Linked DNA regions of Coturnix japonica. The protein of the gene in region 1 purifies or fractionates together with the protein of each later gene. This does not show direct contact. Links are inferred from orthologs where the notes say so. Each region holds a gene or a part of one and is shown in the gene's direction. Other genes may lie near its edges.

Region 1 (4,298 bases):
TTCATACTCTTACAGCCACCCGCTGCTACTCTGAAGCTAAGGCACCTGCTTTTGGCATCACCTGCACAGTTATCAAAAGGAAGGTTACTGCTCAAACTAGTGGCCTTATACAGTTAGAGCTGACCTGAGCGTGGATTCAGACGAGTTATATTTGGAGTGAGCGGACCCCATTCTGTGGTTTTTACAGCTTGTTTAATGGGCGACAGCATTTCAATTAGAAAACGACAATAAATAAAAGCACCAACAAACAAATAGGATGAAACCAACCTGCCAGGCTGGGGCAGCTCAGCATGGTGTGTTTTCTTCCAGGGGCCTTTCTGCTGCAAGGGGCGGGAGACATGAGTGCCTGTTTTTACCCGATCCCACAGATTTATTCCAAACCTGGCCTGCAATTGCATGAGTGATAGTAACAGTAACAATAACAATAATGTTTATATTTGAAAAGCACCTTACCAACCAACTGCAGTGCTCTGCTGTTCCTTCACTAACTCCCCTTTTCCCTTATTCTTCTTCTCCCCCCTCCAGTCATGCTCCTTTTCAGTGCTCGGTGGTGTACGCGTGTGTGCTCACTGTTCTTGTATTCAATAAAAGTGAAATAAATGTGTTTGAGGCTAAACCAGCTCTGCGGCCTTTTCAGACTCCTTCCCACCAAAGAGGATGCGCAGATGGGGACAGGGGCTCCATGCAGGGGCTGCATAGCGGGCTGTCCCCCATAGGTATTGTACGTGGTGGTTGGTGGTGATGCTGCATGGCTGTCCTGCCGTGGGCTGTAGGGTCACCCTTTGGGGTTGGAGGTTGCCATTTAGTGTCAGCGTTAAGCGGGTCACCATTGTTGGTTAGGGTTGGGTATTAAGTGTTACCTTTTGGGATATGTTTGAGGGCTACAGCTTAGGGTTAGTATTAAGGGCTAAGGGTTACCCTTTTGGGAGATGGGTTGAGTTACCCTTTTTGGTTAGAATTGAGGAGTACGGGTTAATATTTTGGGCTATGGATACGGTTACCCTTTTGTGTTAGCGTTAAGCATTCAGGTTTCTCCTTTTGTGTTAGGATGAAGGCTCACTCATTTGGGGTTACAGTGAACGGCTTGGGGTTACCAGTTTGGGCTACCAGTTACCCTTTTGTGTTAAGGCTAAGTATATGGGCTATCGTTAAAGGTTACACTTTTGGTTCATGGCTAAGGTCCCCCTTTGGGTTGCGGTTGAGGGTTACTCTTTCGTGTTACTGTTAATCGTGAAGGATTACCCGTTGGTTAATGGGGGCGGAGGGCGACCGCTTCTGTGTGGAGACCGGACGGAAGCAGAGGTTCGGCTGTCGGGGCGTCACGTCGAGCGGCCGCAGCGCAGCGGGGCTCCCCGGCCTCCGGGACCGCGCGGAGGCGGAACGAGTTGCGGCCCGGAACGTTCGTGCGCGGCGCATGGGGCGGCCCGGGCGCAGAGCGGAGGAAGGACCGCGCGTTTCCGGCCCTGTCCGCCCGCCGCGATGATGGCGGGGCTGCGGGCCGACCCGGAGCTGGCCAAGCGGCTCTTCTTCGAGGGTGCCGCCGTGATCGTCCTGGGCGTCCCCGAGGGCACCGAGTTCGGCATCGACTACAGCAGCTGGACCGTGGGGCCCCGCTTCCGCGGCGTCAAGATGGTTCCGCCCGGGGTGCACTTCGTGCACTGCAGCGCGGCCCGGTCCGCCGGCGGCACTGAGACGGGACCGCGGGCCGGGCTGTTCCTCTGCCTGCGGCCCCGGCAGGTGCGCGCCCTGCGCTGGGAGCCGGGCAGCGAGGAGCTGCGGGACGCGCCGGGAGAGGAGGAGGCGCTCGGGAGGGACCTGCGGGACATGGACGCGTTCCTCGGGCCGTACCCGTACGACACCGTGAAGAAGTGGATCGCCCTCAGCAGCTTCGTGGGCGAGGCGGCGGTGGAGCGGCTGCGGCCGGAGAGCGGGCGGATCTGCGCCTTCTCCGAGGTGCTGCCGGTGCGGGAGGGGCGGCTCGGCCGGGACCGCGCGGGGCAGAAGCTGCCGCCGTACGACGCGGGGTGCGGGAGTTACGCCGAGGGCGTGGCCAGGCTGCCCGAGATGCGGCCCAGAGCCGGAACCGAGATCCGCTTCACCGAGCTGCCGCGGCGGACGTACCCCGAGGGAGCCAGCCCGGAGGAGATCACCAGGCACTGCATGGACCTCAGCTACGCGCTGGAAAACGTCATCGCGCGGCGCTACGCCGGGCGGCCGCAGGACCTGCTCGGTGAGTGCGCGGCGGGGACAGCCCCGGGCGGAGCTCCGGCCGTGGCCGTGCCGGGGGGCGGGTGCTGAATGTGGAGGGGCCGGGAGCCCGGCTGGGCTGAGTTGTGAGCGTTTGTTTTTCACGTGGTCTGTCGTGTTACACGAGTCATTCGTTATCAGAATTCCTGCGGGCGATTGGAGGGGAGGCGAAGGTGATCGCATCGGGTGCAGGTAACAATCTTCAGAGCCACCGGTTCTGGCTGGTGAGAAGCGCCTGGCGAGGCTGAGTCCTGGCTCTGAAAAAGAGACAAACACTCGTTGCTCACAACCTCCGTTGTTCTCATCCCTGCGTCTGGGGGCAGCGCCTGCAAGCCGTGGTACAGGAGGAGGTGAACGCCTGCAGGGCGCCGGCAGTGGCTGTGTGCAGGTCTGTGCACCTGTGAGTGTTGCAGGTGCTCCTGTAGCTCCTCACTCAGTGCCAGCAGCACCGCCCTGCAGAGCTGGCAGCCACAATTAGGAGCCCTGCCCGGTTACACTGTGCTTTCTCTCCAGATGGGAGAAGAGCAGAGCATTAGGAAATAATCGGTGTTGGCAGTATTGATCGCCATTTGCAGAGTCACTTAGAGGGCTGAAGGTTGTTTATATGCCCAAGCTAAACCTACAGTTTATGCAGTCATCTGCAGAGCTTTTTAGAGGATGTGTGCCTTGGTTATACCTCGGTTTACCTGTTTTGTTTTGTTTTCTGAATACCTGCAGCTGAGTTGCAGTTTGCTTTTATCTGCTTCCTGATTGGGAATGTATACGATGCATTTGAGCACTGGAAAAGACTGTTAAACATCCTGTGCCGTTCTGAAGCTGCCATTGCAAAGTATCAGGACCTTTATGCCAATCTCATCTTTGTCCTGTACCACCAGTTGAATGAAATCCCGTCTGATTTCTTTGTGGACATCGTCTCCCAGGACAACTTTCTGACCAGCACCTTGCAGGTACGGCTGTGCGTTCTCTTGATCCATGGGAGTCAGAATGCAGGGCATGCAGGGCATTGAAACAGATACAGAGAGAAGCTTCAAGAGGAAGTAAGCTGCTGTTGAGTCTGCCAGAGATAGGGAGCCTGTGTCCTCCGTGAGGGCACACTGACATTTCCTTTTACTTTTTCCTGGCGTTGCTCACACAGAAATGACCTCTCTTGTCATCTATGAGCTTGATCTACCAATGCACATCGAGCATTTATTGCCTTCAGCAGATCAAGCATTTAAAGCACCGTGGACTGGAGTTGGTCCGCACGCACGTGCCAGCAAAGTGAGGTATTGAGGGGAGAGGCTGTTGACAGCTGCAGCACAGAGTGAGGCCTGAGTCTTCTCTATTGTGTTTTCCTTGAAGATAGCACTGACCGTGATCTGGTCCATTGGTGCAGGTTTGGAGTTCTGGAGTGGGACAACTGACGTGACTGGGTGGAACCAGCATGTTTGTTTTAAAAGTGATCTGGGCTTTCAGCTGTGTGAAGCTGAACATCTCCGAGAGGGGCTGAGCGAGTGCAAAGTGGTGTCTGTTTGTTGATCAGTTTTTTTCCCCTCCAAATACCATTCGTTTAAAAACACGTGGCTTGGTGTAAAAGAGTGGTGGTGGTTTCTGATCAGCTTGGATGGTGTGCTCAGCCTGCAGGGAAGTTGCAGCTAAATCTTACTGAGCTGAAGGTATGGATAACATATAAGAAGCCTTTCTGCTCCTGCCTGCTTTATGCAAACGTGAAGGTTTCCTGAAATCAGGTTGTTGTTTGTATGGGATTTATGGTCAGTCCAAACAGCAGAAATACACTGCTGGTGCTGAGACAGGCAAGGGCAAACCTGTAAGTCACTCCCAGTCACTGCAACTGCTGATAGATCAGCAATACTGGAATAGGCTCCCCAGGGAGGTGGATGAATCTCCATCCCTGGATGTGTTTAAGAGCCATTTGGATGTGGTGCTCAGGGATATGATTTAGCAGAGGGTTGTTAGAGTTAGGGTACTGGTTAGGCTGCAGTTGAACTTGATGATCTTCAAGGTCTTTTCCAACCTGGGTAATTCTATGATTCTATGAATAAACCAAAACT
Region 2 (4,278 bases), on another chromosome or scaffold:
TGTGGTGGTGCGAGGCCAGGCAAATCCTGTCTTACACATGCAGTGTCCCTAACAGAAAACAACTGCAGGTTCTCCCTACAGGTTGGCAGTAACTTTGTCATTGGGAAGAGTCAGGTTGATACCTGTCTTCATTAAATATATTCCCTCCACATGAGTTGATTTTTTCATTGCTCACTTAGCAGGATGAAAACTCCAATGTGAGTACACAGCACTGGAATAAGTCAAACCTGCTTGCATGTGAGCCAGAGCCAAAAGAAAGCATAAAGTAAAACAGGTAAGCAAAAACTGATGTAGGAGAAAGGCAGTGTTAAGCACCAAATCCTGGAAACATCCCACTGGGTTTCAAGGATATTTATAGGCTTTCCTTCTTGTAAATGGGAGAGGTCAGGTGATTATTTCCCCCAGCCTTTACTCATTCTGGCTCGGTGCAACTGCAGTCTTCCAGCAGAGGAGGATGTGCTGTGCAACGCTGTGCTTGAGATTTTTACCTACAGGAAAATGCTCCTTTCCTTCCCTACTTCCCCTCATGAACTCTGGCATCAAGCTGAGCATGGCCATACCAGACTCATGTCCACAGTTGTTCTGGGCGCATGAGATGGAGAAAATACATTGGATCGCTGTGCTTGGCCTTCAGTATCACAGTGGCTGCCGGGGAATTGCCTGCCAGTTTCCTACAGCCATGAAGAGAAGGACAGGCAGCCTCTCCCAGGCTCCAAGTGCAGAAGCCTTCAGTGCATAGGCTGGGGCTGGAGCCTGCCAATTGAGCAGCGGAAACAGTCACCGGATAGGGGCCAACAGCAGATTTATGTGCAAGAAAGGAACACAAGGCTCCCAGCAGCAGGGCTGAACGGAGACGCACTGCTCCCTGCAGAGGCACAGGGCAATCTCTGCACAAGAGCTAAGCCTGCCCCAGGCATAGTGTACTTGTTTGGAAGATGTCCTGTGATGGCACACAGAGCCATGTCGAGTCCCGCACCCCTCTTCAAGCCATCTTAGTTCACGCTGGCTAGGGCTAGGCTTTACCATCTGTTCTTCTTTAGGATCTGACTCATTATTTTTATTTCAGCTGTCACCAAGCAATAGCAAAAATCCCAACACAACAGCACATTCACCATCGTGAATTGCCTTGTCTGCAGTCAGCAAAGAACAGCTCATCCCCAGTTCTCTGCAGTGTGTGAGACTCACCTTCTGCACAGCGACAGGAAAGGAGTAAAAGGATACAGACAGCTGATGTAGTAACCTTAGCCATCAGCTGCATCCTGACAAAGAAAAGCCCAACCCCAGATCCATGGCTTATGCTGCTTGCCTCCACCCTTACAAAAATAGGGCATGACCACGCTTAATGCACATCCTTTCCCTGCCTGCTGCTGGTATGCCCAGACAGCATTATGCAGCAGGCTCAGCCCTCAGCCACTGTCTGTGTCTCCCCTGCCCATTGCCTGTCTTTGCCTGTGACTCCTGTTTCTGCTCACACGCCAAAGGACCCTGCTTTCCTCTCTCTTCCCTCCAGACAGGAATCCATCTGCCTGTGTCTCCGCTGTACATGTATATATGTTTAAGGAAAGGCTTACCAAATGGGGAAACACCTCTAGAGCCTCTGCTTTAGAACTTAAAGCTTTTAGCTGAAGAAGGGGGAAAAGAACCAGATGGCCTCAGCCAACACCAATAAAACATGTTCCGACAGAATTCCACATCTTGACACATGAACAAAAAAATGTTCTTTTGGGACAGAGGATGGAAACTTGCTTTTGGCCGGACACTTGTCTCACACCCCAGTGACTGAAGGCTTTCTGGTTATAAAGTACATGCAAATAAAAACTCCACGCTTCCTCTGAACCGCTCGCTGCTGCCAAGCCCAAGAGATGAGGAAAAAACCAACGCCTGACTTGTTTTTTCCACGCGGTTTGGATGAGGAGGGGCCACCCCCGACAGCTTCACAGTCTGCAAAATGGAGGGCGAGCTCCTGGGAGCTGTAGTCCGGCCGCGTCGCTCTCAAAATGGCCCCCAACGGGGAAAGCGCAGACAACTACAACTCTCAGGATGCAAAGCGAGGTGACGCTAACGGGAAGCAGGGTTGTACTTCTGCTTCCTGCACTTCCCCACCTCCACCTTCCTCCGGGCTTGCGCGGCTTTGGGGTATGGGGCGTTTATTCGGTGCTGGGTGTGAGCGGGGAGGGGGGGGGATCCCGGTCCGGGGAGCTGGGTCCTAGGTTGGCAAGGAATGCGGTATATGGGCCCATGGTGCAGGGTGCGGCGGTGGGTTGTGTCGTAGTGCTGTCTGTGCGATGAGAATGGGGTCGAGATTTGGGGTGACGGAGCTCTGTGTTTGCCTCCCAGCTGCAGGAGGGTGAGCAGAGCCAGCAGAGCAAGGCCAGGATGGGAGAGGCTGATGGAGAACGTGGCAGCCAGAGAGACACGGGCCTGTGTGTGCTGTGCAGTGCCCACGTTGCTGTAATGAACGTGTGAGTTTGTCTGGTGTGTTGTCAGCATCTGCGTGTTTGGTATTAACACTGTTAAATTATTCTTCCAGTAGCAACGTTTTCCCTTTCTGTACAAATGCTCTTAGCAAAGAGGTGCCCTCATTCATAGCCTGAAACATCTGTTTTGCTCAGCCCTGCTTTTTGGTGTTTCTTTTGAGTTGCACTCGTTTCTTTCATGTGTTATAAAACTAAAGAGAAAGGTGCAGGATCTTCAAATGATTATTTTGCATTTGGGGGTTGCACTAGAGGCCACGTTTCAAAAGCAACGGTGTCAAAACACAGCCAGACTACACAGAACACAGCATTCAGGCCATTCAGTTCTTTGCAAGCTTCTCCACATACTAATTCCTCATGCAGATCTGTCCCCAGTGGTGAATACAACCTTTCTTTGCAGGCATCTCTGTGGTGTCCTGGGTCTCTTTCCTATTGGCATGTAGTACCTGCAGTGCATATCTGGTACCTTCTTGGCTGCAGTTAACACAGTACATTTACTAATAGTTTACTGCATGTGTAAATTACAGCTTTGTTTTGTTTTTTTTTAAAGCCTCTCTTCTGTTGTAGAGAATAAGACTTGGCTTTGTGAATGTGGAGACTGAGTAACTGTGGTGGAGCCTGTCCTATTAGGTTTGTGCTGTTCTTTTGCTAGTATTCAGGATTATCTGAAGACTTTTTTATGCAAGCTTGAGCTTGTGTCAGATTTAGAACTCTGCTCTGTAGCTTTGGGTGACTCAGGGAGAAAGAATTATTTTCAAAACTCTTTTTAAAACTACATTTCCAGTATCTTGATGGAAATGTTTGTTTTCTAGGGTGGAAGTGCTGAGATCTTTGGTGGCTTTAACTGACCCTCAGGAGGGGAAGCTGACTCAGTCTCAGGAGAAAGTGAGTGACCAGCACACTTTCCATGTCTGTTTACTGCGGCTTTTCAGAAGAACCTATAATTGTGTAGTTTAACTTAACCTAATAGTAAATGAGAACACTTTCCCTAATTCACGTTTTGGAGAGCTGAACTGAAGTGTATTTTTGCCAAGTCTATTTTTGACTGCCCAACAAGCAGTGGTGTTTCAGCCTGTACTGTACTGGAACTCAGGGTTCAGGTCACTGTGTCTTTTGATTGACCAAATGGGCAGCTCTTGCTGACCATTGCTTGCACCCTCCCCTTGTTTCCAGTGTGCTCACACAAGCATGGCATATGCAATTATTTTTCATAATCTGTCTCAATTCATTTCTCACGCTCACTTATCATGTGATTGCAACTATCTAGTAATAACGTAAAAGCTTAAAGCCAAGGAAGGAGTGCACCTTGTACTTTGTCAGTTTAAAGCTGACACAGAACTGTAGCTCTGAGACATTACAGGCTGTTCTGACACATTCCTTGATCAGCAGCAGGGCCCTTTTTAATACGTAGAATATGATTGGGGACGGATGTGAATTGGCAATGAAGAATTGCAACAGACAAAAGAGATTAGGATTTGTTTTTATGGATTTATATGGTATGGGTAAATGAACGGTGTACTTTGGAGAGTCACTGCTGTTCTTGGAAGAAGATATGTGGAACAGTTATATTCAAAAAACTTATGCTCATCATTTAGCAATTGGTCTTGCTGTTACCTTCAGTGAAATTCAGTGCATCACTATTTATAATTACTTTGCATTCTTGTACTGAATTTTGTGGAAGTCTTTAATATTAATGTGCATCTGTTCCACAGCAATGTACTGTGATATAGCAGTAATCATTATCAGGCCTGTCCCAGAGTGATGGTCATACGTGTGATTTTCATTGCGCAGTTGAATTTTCATG
Region 3 (4,356 bases), about 8.3 Mb from region 1:
CCAGTGCTGGGTGCCCCTGCCCTGCTGTCCTGCCCTGCTGTCCTTCTGCCCTGCTTCTTTCCTCCTGCCCCAGGCGCAGGGACAGAGATGCCTTTGTGTGGGTCTGTGCAGGGCTGCCCAGTTCCTGTGGGATCTTAAATGCGCTCCCATTTAAGTGATGATTTTCCACTTTGGAGCCTTTGTGAGCCATTACCACGCGTATCCATGCAGACGTGCACAGCATTCCCTGCAGATGCCAGCTTGTAAGAGTGCAGAAATCAGACTTGGAAAGCCTGGACCTCAGCAAAAAGAGCCGTGGGGATGTCGGGGATGGAAGGGAGATGCACTGCCCTTATCAGCATCACTCCTGTTGTGTTGTGGTTCCTGTCCCAGGTGGGTTAGTGCACAGTGCCAACGTCCAGACCTGGGTGTGGGCTGCTTTGGTGCTGGGAGGAACCCTTACATTCCCAAATCACAGAATCAGAGTAATTAAAGATCATCAAGATCCCCAAGTCCAACCCCAACCCACCCCGCCATGCCCACTGACTGTCCCTTGGTGCCACATCTACCCTGAAAAGAGCAGGATCCCAGTGGGTGAAGACATTTCAGGGCTGGATGCTGCACTGCTCTGCTCCATCATCACTGGGAATCCCGTGCAGAGCCCCCAGTGCTCCCAGTTTGTGGTCAGGTATGGCTCTAAACCTCAGGCTCCATCATCTCCCGCTGCTCCTGCACACAGGAAACACCAGGAGCGCACACGAAGACGATTAAAAATCATTTAGGATTGATTTTACTGAGCCTACCAGTGAGTTTTCTCCTTGCTTGGAGCCGTGCCTGTGCTGCGGGCTCCAGCCAGATGTATGAGCAGAGAACATGGGGAGCTCCCAGCCACCCTCAGCCCTGTGCTCACCCTGTGCTGCCCACTATGTTTGCTAGGAAATAACCCCCAAAGTGAAACTCCTGCAGCTCTCAGAGCAGAGAGCAAAAGACCCACCCCAGCCTTGGGCTTGTATGAGCCTGGCCATAAAGACTGTGAGATCTGGGGAACAGCAGATGGGCCAGGGCCAAACCCAGCCCCAAAGCTGGGAAACGCTACAGCTCTGCTGGCACCCAACGGCTTGGCAAAAAGGGAGGTGTTTTCATTTCAGCTCCAGCCAAACCCAAAAATAGATGGGCACTAAGTGGCTGGGGGTTGGGTTTGTCATTGTGCAGAATGGGGTTATTTGTCTTCACTGCAGCAGCTGTGTCGGAGCACAAGGAGCCCAGCAGGGATGGATGACCCTAAAAGCCCTTTGCAGCTCCCGTGCCCTCCCTCCCCATGCATTTCAAGTGTATTTAGATACACAAAGTGCTTCTGGGGCTGTTGTATATGAGCATCCATCCCATGGTAGGCGATGCACAGTCCCAATTAGGAGCAAAGGGGTGGAGGAACAACCCCCCCCCCCCCCCCATTGCTCAGTGCAGGGATGGCTCCATTCTGTTCTATGGGCCCCTCGGGACCTCCCAGCACTAGGGGGCGCTCTGCTTCCCGCGACACAACATGAGCGGAAGTGCCGCTCTGCCCGCTGGTTAACCACCCTCACTTCCTCCATCACTTCCGCCGTCTTCTCCTCCGCCGTCTCCGTCCGTACCGAGCAGCCGTCGCCATGAACAAGAAGAAGAAGCCGTTCCTGGGCATGCCCGCTCCCCTGGGCTACGTACCGGGGTTGGGCCGCGGGTGAGTCCACCGTCAGGCCCCCAGTGTCCCCTCGGGCCGCGGCCTGGGCACCCCCCGTCCCAGGCCCGGTCCCAGGCCCGGTCCCAGGCCCTGCCCGCTTCCAAAGCAGCGAGCATCCAAAGCAGGGCCCCATCTGTTGTACCGTGTCCAGGTGTGGAGCCCTCAGTACAAAAAAGACATGGAGGTTTTGTTAAGGGTCCAGAGGAGGGACAGGAAGATGATCAGGGGGCTGGAGCAGCTCCCCTATGAGGACAGGCTGAGGGAGTTGGGTTTGTTCAGCCTGGAGAAGAGAAGGTTGCGGGGTGACCTCATTGCAGCCTTTCAATACCTGAAGGGAACTTACTGCCAGGAGGGGAGGAAACTCTTGGAAAGGGATGATAATAGCAGGACACGGGGAAATGGTTTTAAGTTAAAAGAGGGAAGATTTAGGTTGGATGTTAGGGGGAAGTTCTTCACTAGGAGAGTGGTTAGGGCCTGGAACAGGCTGCCCAGGGAGGTTGTGGATGCCCCGTCCTTGGAGGTGTTCAAGGCCAGGTTGGACGGGGCCATGGGCAACCTGATCTAGTAAATGTGTATGTTTGGTGGCCCTGCCAGGCAGGGGGGTTGGAACTACATGATCCTTGAGGTCCCTTCCAACCCGGATCATCCTGTGATGTTCTTATGTTCTTATTGCCTGGCTTTAAGCAATGGTTCTTGTTGGCTGCCTCTGGTTTCACTGTGCTAAAGAGCCGTCCCTGCTTTATTAACACAGCGCCACAGGATTCACCACCCGCTCTGATATTGGCCCTGCACGCGATGCCAACGACCCCGTGGATGATCGCCATGCTCCACCAGGGAAAAGGACGGTGGGGGATCAGATGAAGAAGAATCAAACGGCTGATGATGATGACGAGGATCTGAATGACACCAATTACGATGAGGTGATGTGATAACACACCTAGAGATGCTTATCCCTAAGCAGAAGTGAAATCCCTTTGCTCCCAGTTCTCCTGCAGTTCTCTCACTCATCTCTCTGTATGAGCTGGGGATTCAAGGCCAGGATTTCCTCTGCTTCAATTGCAAGTCCATTATACTTAATGCCATATATTTACCCTTTCTTATTCTCCTTTGGACTCCATATAGTTGTTTCATTATCTATATGGAGCACTAGGAATCTATATGGAGCACTAAGAGTCTCAGGAAGAGGTCCATAAATAAAACGTTATTTTATGGGATTTTGTTTTATGGGATGTGCTTTTTTGTTCTCTTTCACAAACGAAATCTAAGCTCTTGTGCTTACATACATATTTGATATGTATTTGATACATATTCATGTGGCCTGTGCAGTCTCCTGTGTCCCGCTTTGGTTATTTAAATGTTGTGTTGTTATTATTATTGTTTGCTTTCAGTAGTTCTTAGAGGGGAAATAAAGTTATTGATGTATAGAAAACGTGCAAGGATTTTGCTTATTGCTTAATAGATGCAATATGGAAATAGAAACACTTTTACTTTAGAAATGTTGAGGGACAGTAAACAAGTAGGGATGGTAGAAGAAAGCTGCTTTCATTTAAGGGGTGTGTTAATGTGATGCAGTGCTGTGTTGCCTGCTCACCCATGTTCATTGTCCTGGCTGATAGCTGGCTGCTCTCAGTACATAACAGGAGCTTTAAACTGAGAATGCTGCTTTTCCTTTCCCTTTTCTCCAATTCTTAGTTCAATGGATATGCTGGCAGCCTGTTCTCGAGCGGTCCCTATGAAAAAGATGATGAGGAAGCAGATGCTATTTATGCTGCTCTGGATAAAAGGATGGATGAACGGAGGAAAGAAAGAAGGTAGGATGAATTAGAGCACTGGTATGGAACGCTTCCTAGTTCATCTGTGTTTCAAAGATTTCTTCTGCCTCCTCCATTTTCCATTGTAAATGTTATCTGTGTCTACTAGCTGAAGTGTTGAGAGGTTTCATTTGTTTCAGTGCTGCCTTTTAGACACCAGGGCAATAAATCTTAAGGTTGGTGGGTACTTTGCCCAACTTACTGCGAGAATTGATTTGGTTGAATTGCTTCACTGATATTTATTAAGTTGGTTTTGGGAGATGCTGTGGGGATGGTTTTGATACATCACATATTGCACAACACACTGGAAATCATTAGAAAAGTTGTGTGATGTGGGTGTCTTGTAAACCAGTGTTAATTAATTTAATTAAAATTAATTATACTCCTGGCCTGCAGCTAAGAGTAAATCCTGAAGTTTCCTTGGTTAGGAATGTTTGTTTTTATGCTACACTGTTGTCTTATGTCATGAGAGGCCTCTGTCACAGTTTGTAACCTGTGCTTGGTCTAAGATCTAAGCTTATGCTTTACTTCTGATGGAATACATCTTTCTGTGATGCTTAATGGCTCGTTACTCTGAGCATAACTTCAGTTCTCCTTTTTCTAAGGGAACAACGAGAAAAAGAGGAGATAGAAAAATACCGTATGGAACGACCCAAAATCCAGCAACAGTTCTCAGACTTGAAAGTAAGGAAAAATCTTGCCTTCAGTGTATCTGTGTGAGTTATGGGAGGTGACTGTTCAGCATTAATTTGCTCACATTCTGTTCAAGTACTTTGTTATTCTCTAGATTAGAATTACTTTCCTGAGAAAGCAGAAGGATCTTTATTGAGAGCTGCATTCAGAGTTACT

The links. The genes of interacting proteins can lie anywhere in the genome.
Region 2: the proteins of AAR2 (region 1) and TSSC4 purify together in Homo sapiens (affinity purification with mass spectrometry; 3 studies listed by BioGRID and IntAct, counting the BioPlex papers as one, with this or other methods). This does not show direct contact. The link is inferred for Coturnix japonica from reciprocal best matches to the Homo sapiens genes AAR2 and TSSC4.
Region 3: the proteins of AAR2 (region 1) and PRPF6 purify together in Homo sapiens (affinity purification with mass spectrometry; 3 studies listed by BioGRID and IntAct, with this or other methods). This does not show direct contact. The link is inferred for Coturnix japonica from reciprocal best matches to the Homo sapiens genes AAR2 and PRPF6.

Annotation. Positions count from the first base shown.
Region 1 is NC_029535.1:173,983-178,280, forward strand, and holds the start of AAR2 (protein AAR2 homolog), read left to right. Parts: upstream 1-1,413; 5' UTR 1,414-1,479; coding exon 1,480-2,230; intron 2,231-2,964; coding exon 2,965-3,194; intron 3,195-4,298. UniProt on the Homo sapiens protein: Component of the U5 snRNP complex that is required for spliceosome assembly and for pre-mRNA splicing.
Region 2 is NC_029520.1:10,938,724-10,943,001, forward strand, and holds the start of TSSC4 (protein TSSC4), read left to right. Parts: upstream 1-1,469; 5' UTR 1,470-2,136; intron 2,137-2,148; exon of another isoform or gene 2,149-2,238; coding exon of another isoform or gene 2,239-2,256; intron 2,257-2,337; coding exon of another isoform or gene 2,338-2,462; intron 2,463-2,482; exon of another isoform or gene 2,483-2,501; intron 2,502-3,024; exon of another isoform or gene 3,025-3,104; intron 3,105-3,286; coding exon of another isoform or gene 3,287-3,359; intron 3,360-4,278. UniProt on the Homo sapiens protein: Protein associated with the U5 snRNP, during its maturation and its post-splicing recycling and which is required for spliceosomal tri-snRNP complex assembly in the nucleus.
Region 3 is NC_029535.1:8,485,620-8,489,975, reverse strand, and holds the start of PRPF6 (pre-mRNA-processing factor 6), read left to right. Parts: upstream 1-1,547; 5' UTR 1,548-1,625; coding exon 1,626-1,696; intron 1,697-2,447; coding exon 2,448-2,616; intron 2,617-3,388; coding exon 3,389-3,507; intron 3,508-4,112; coding exon 4,113-4,191; intron 4,192-4,356. UniProt on the Homo sapiens protein: Involved in pre-mRNA splicing as component of the U4/U6-U5 tri-snRNP complex, one of the building blocks of the spliceosome.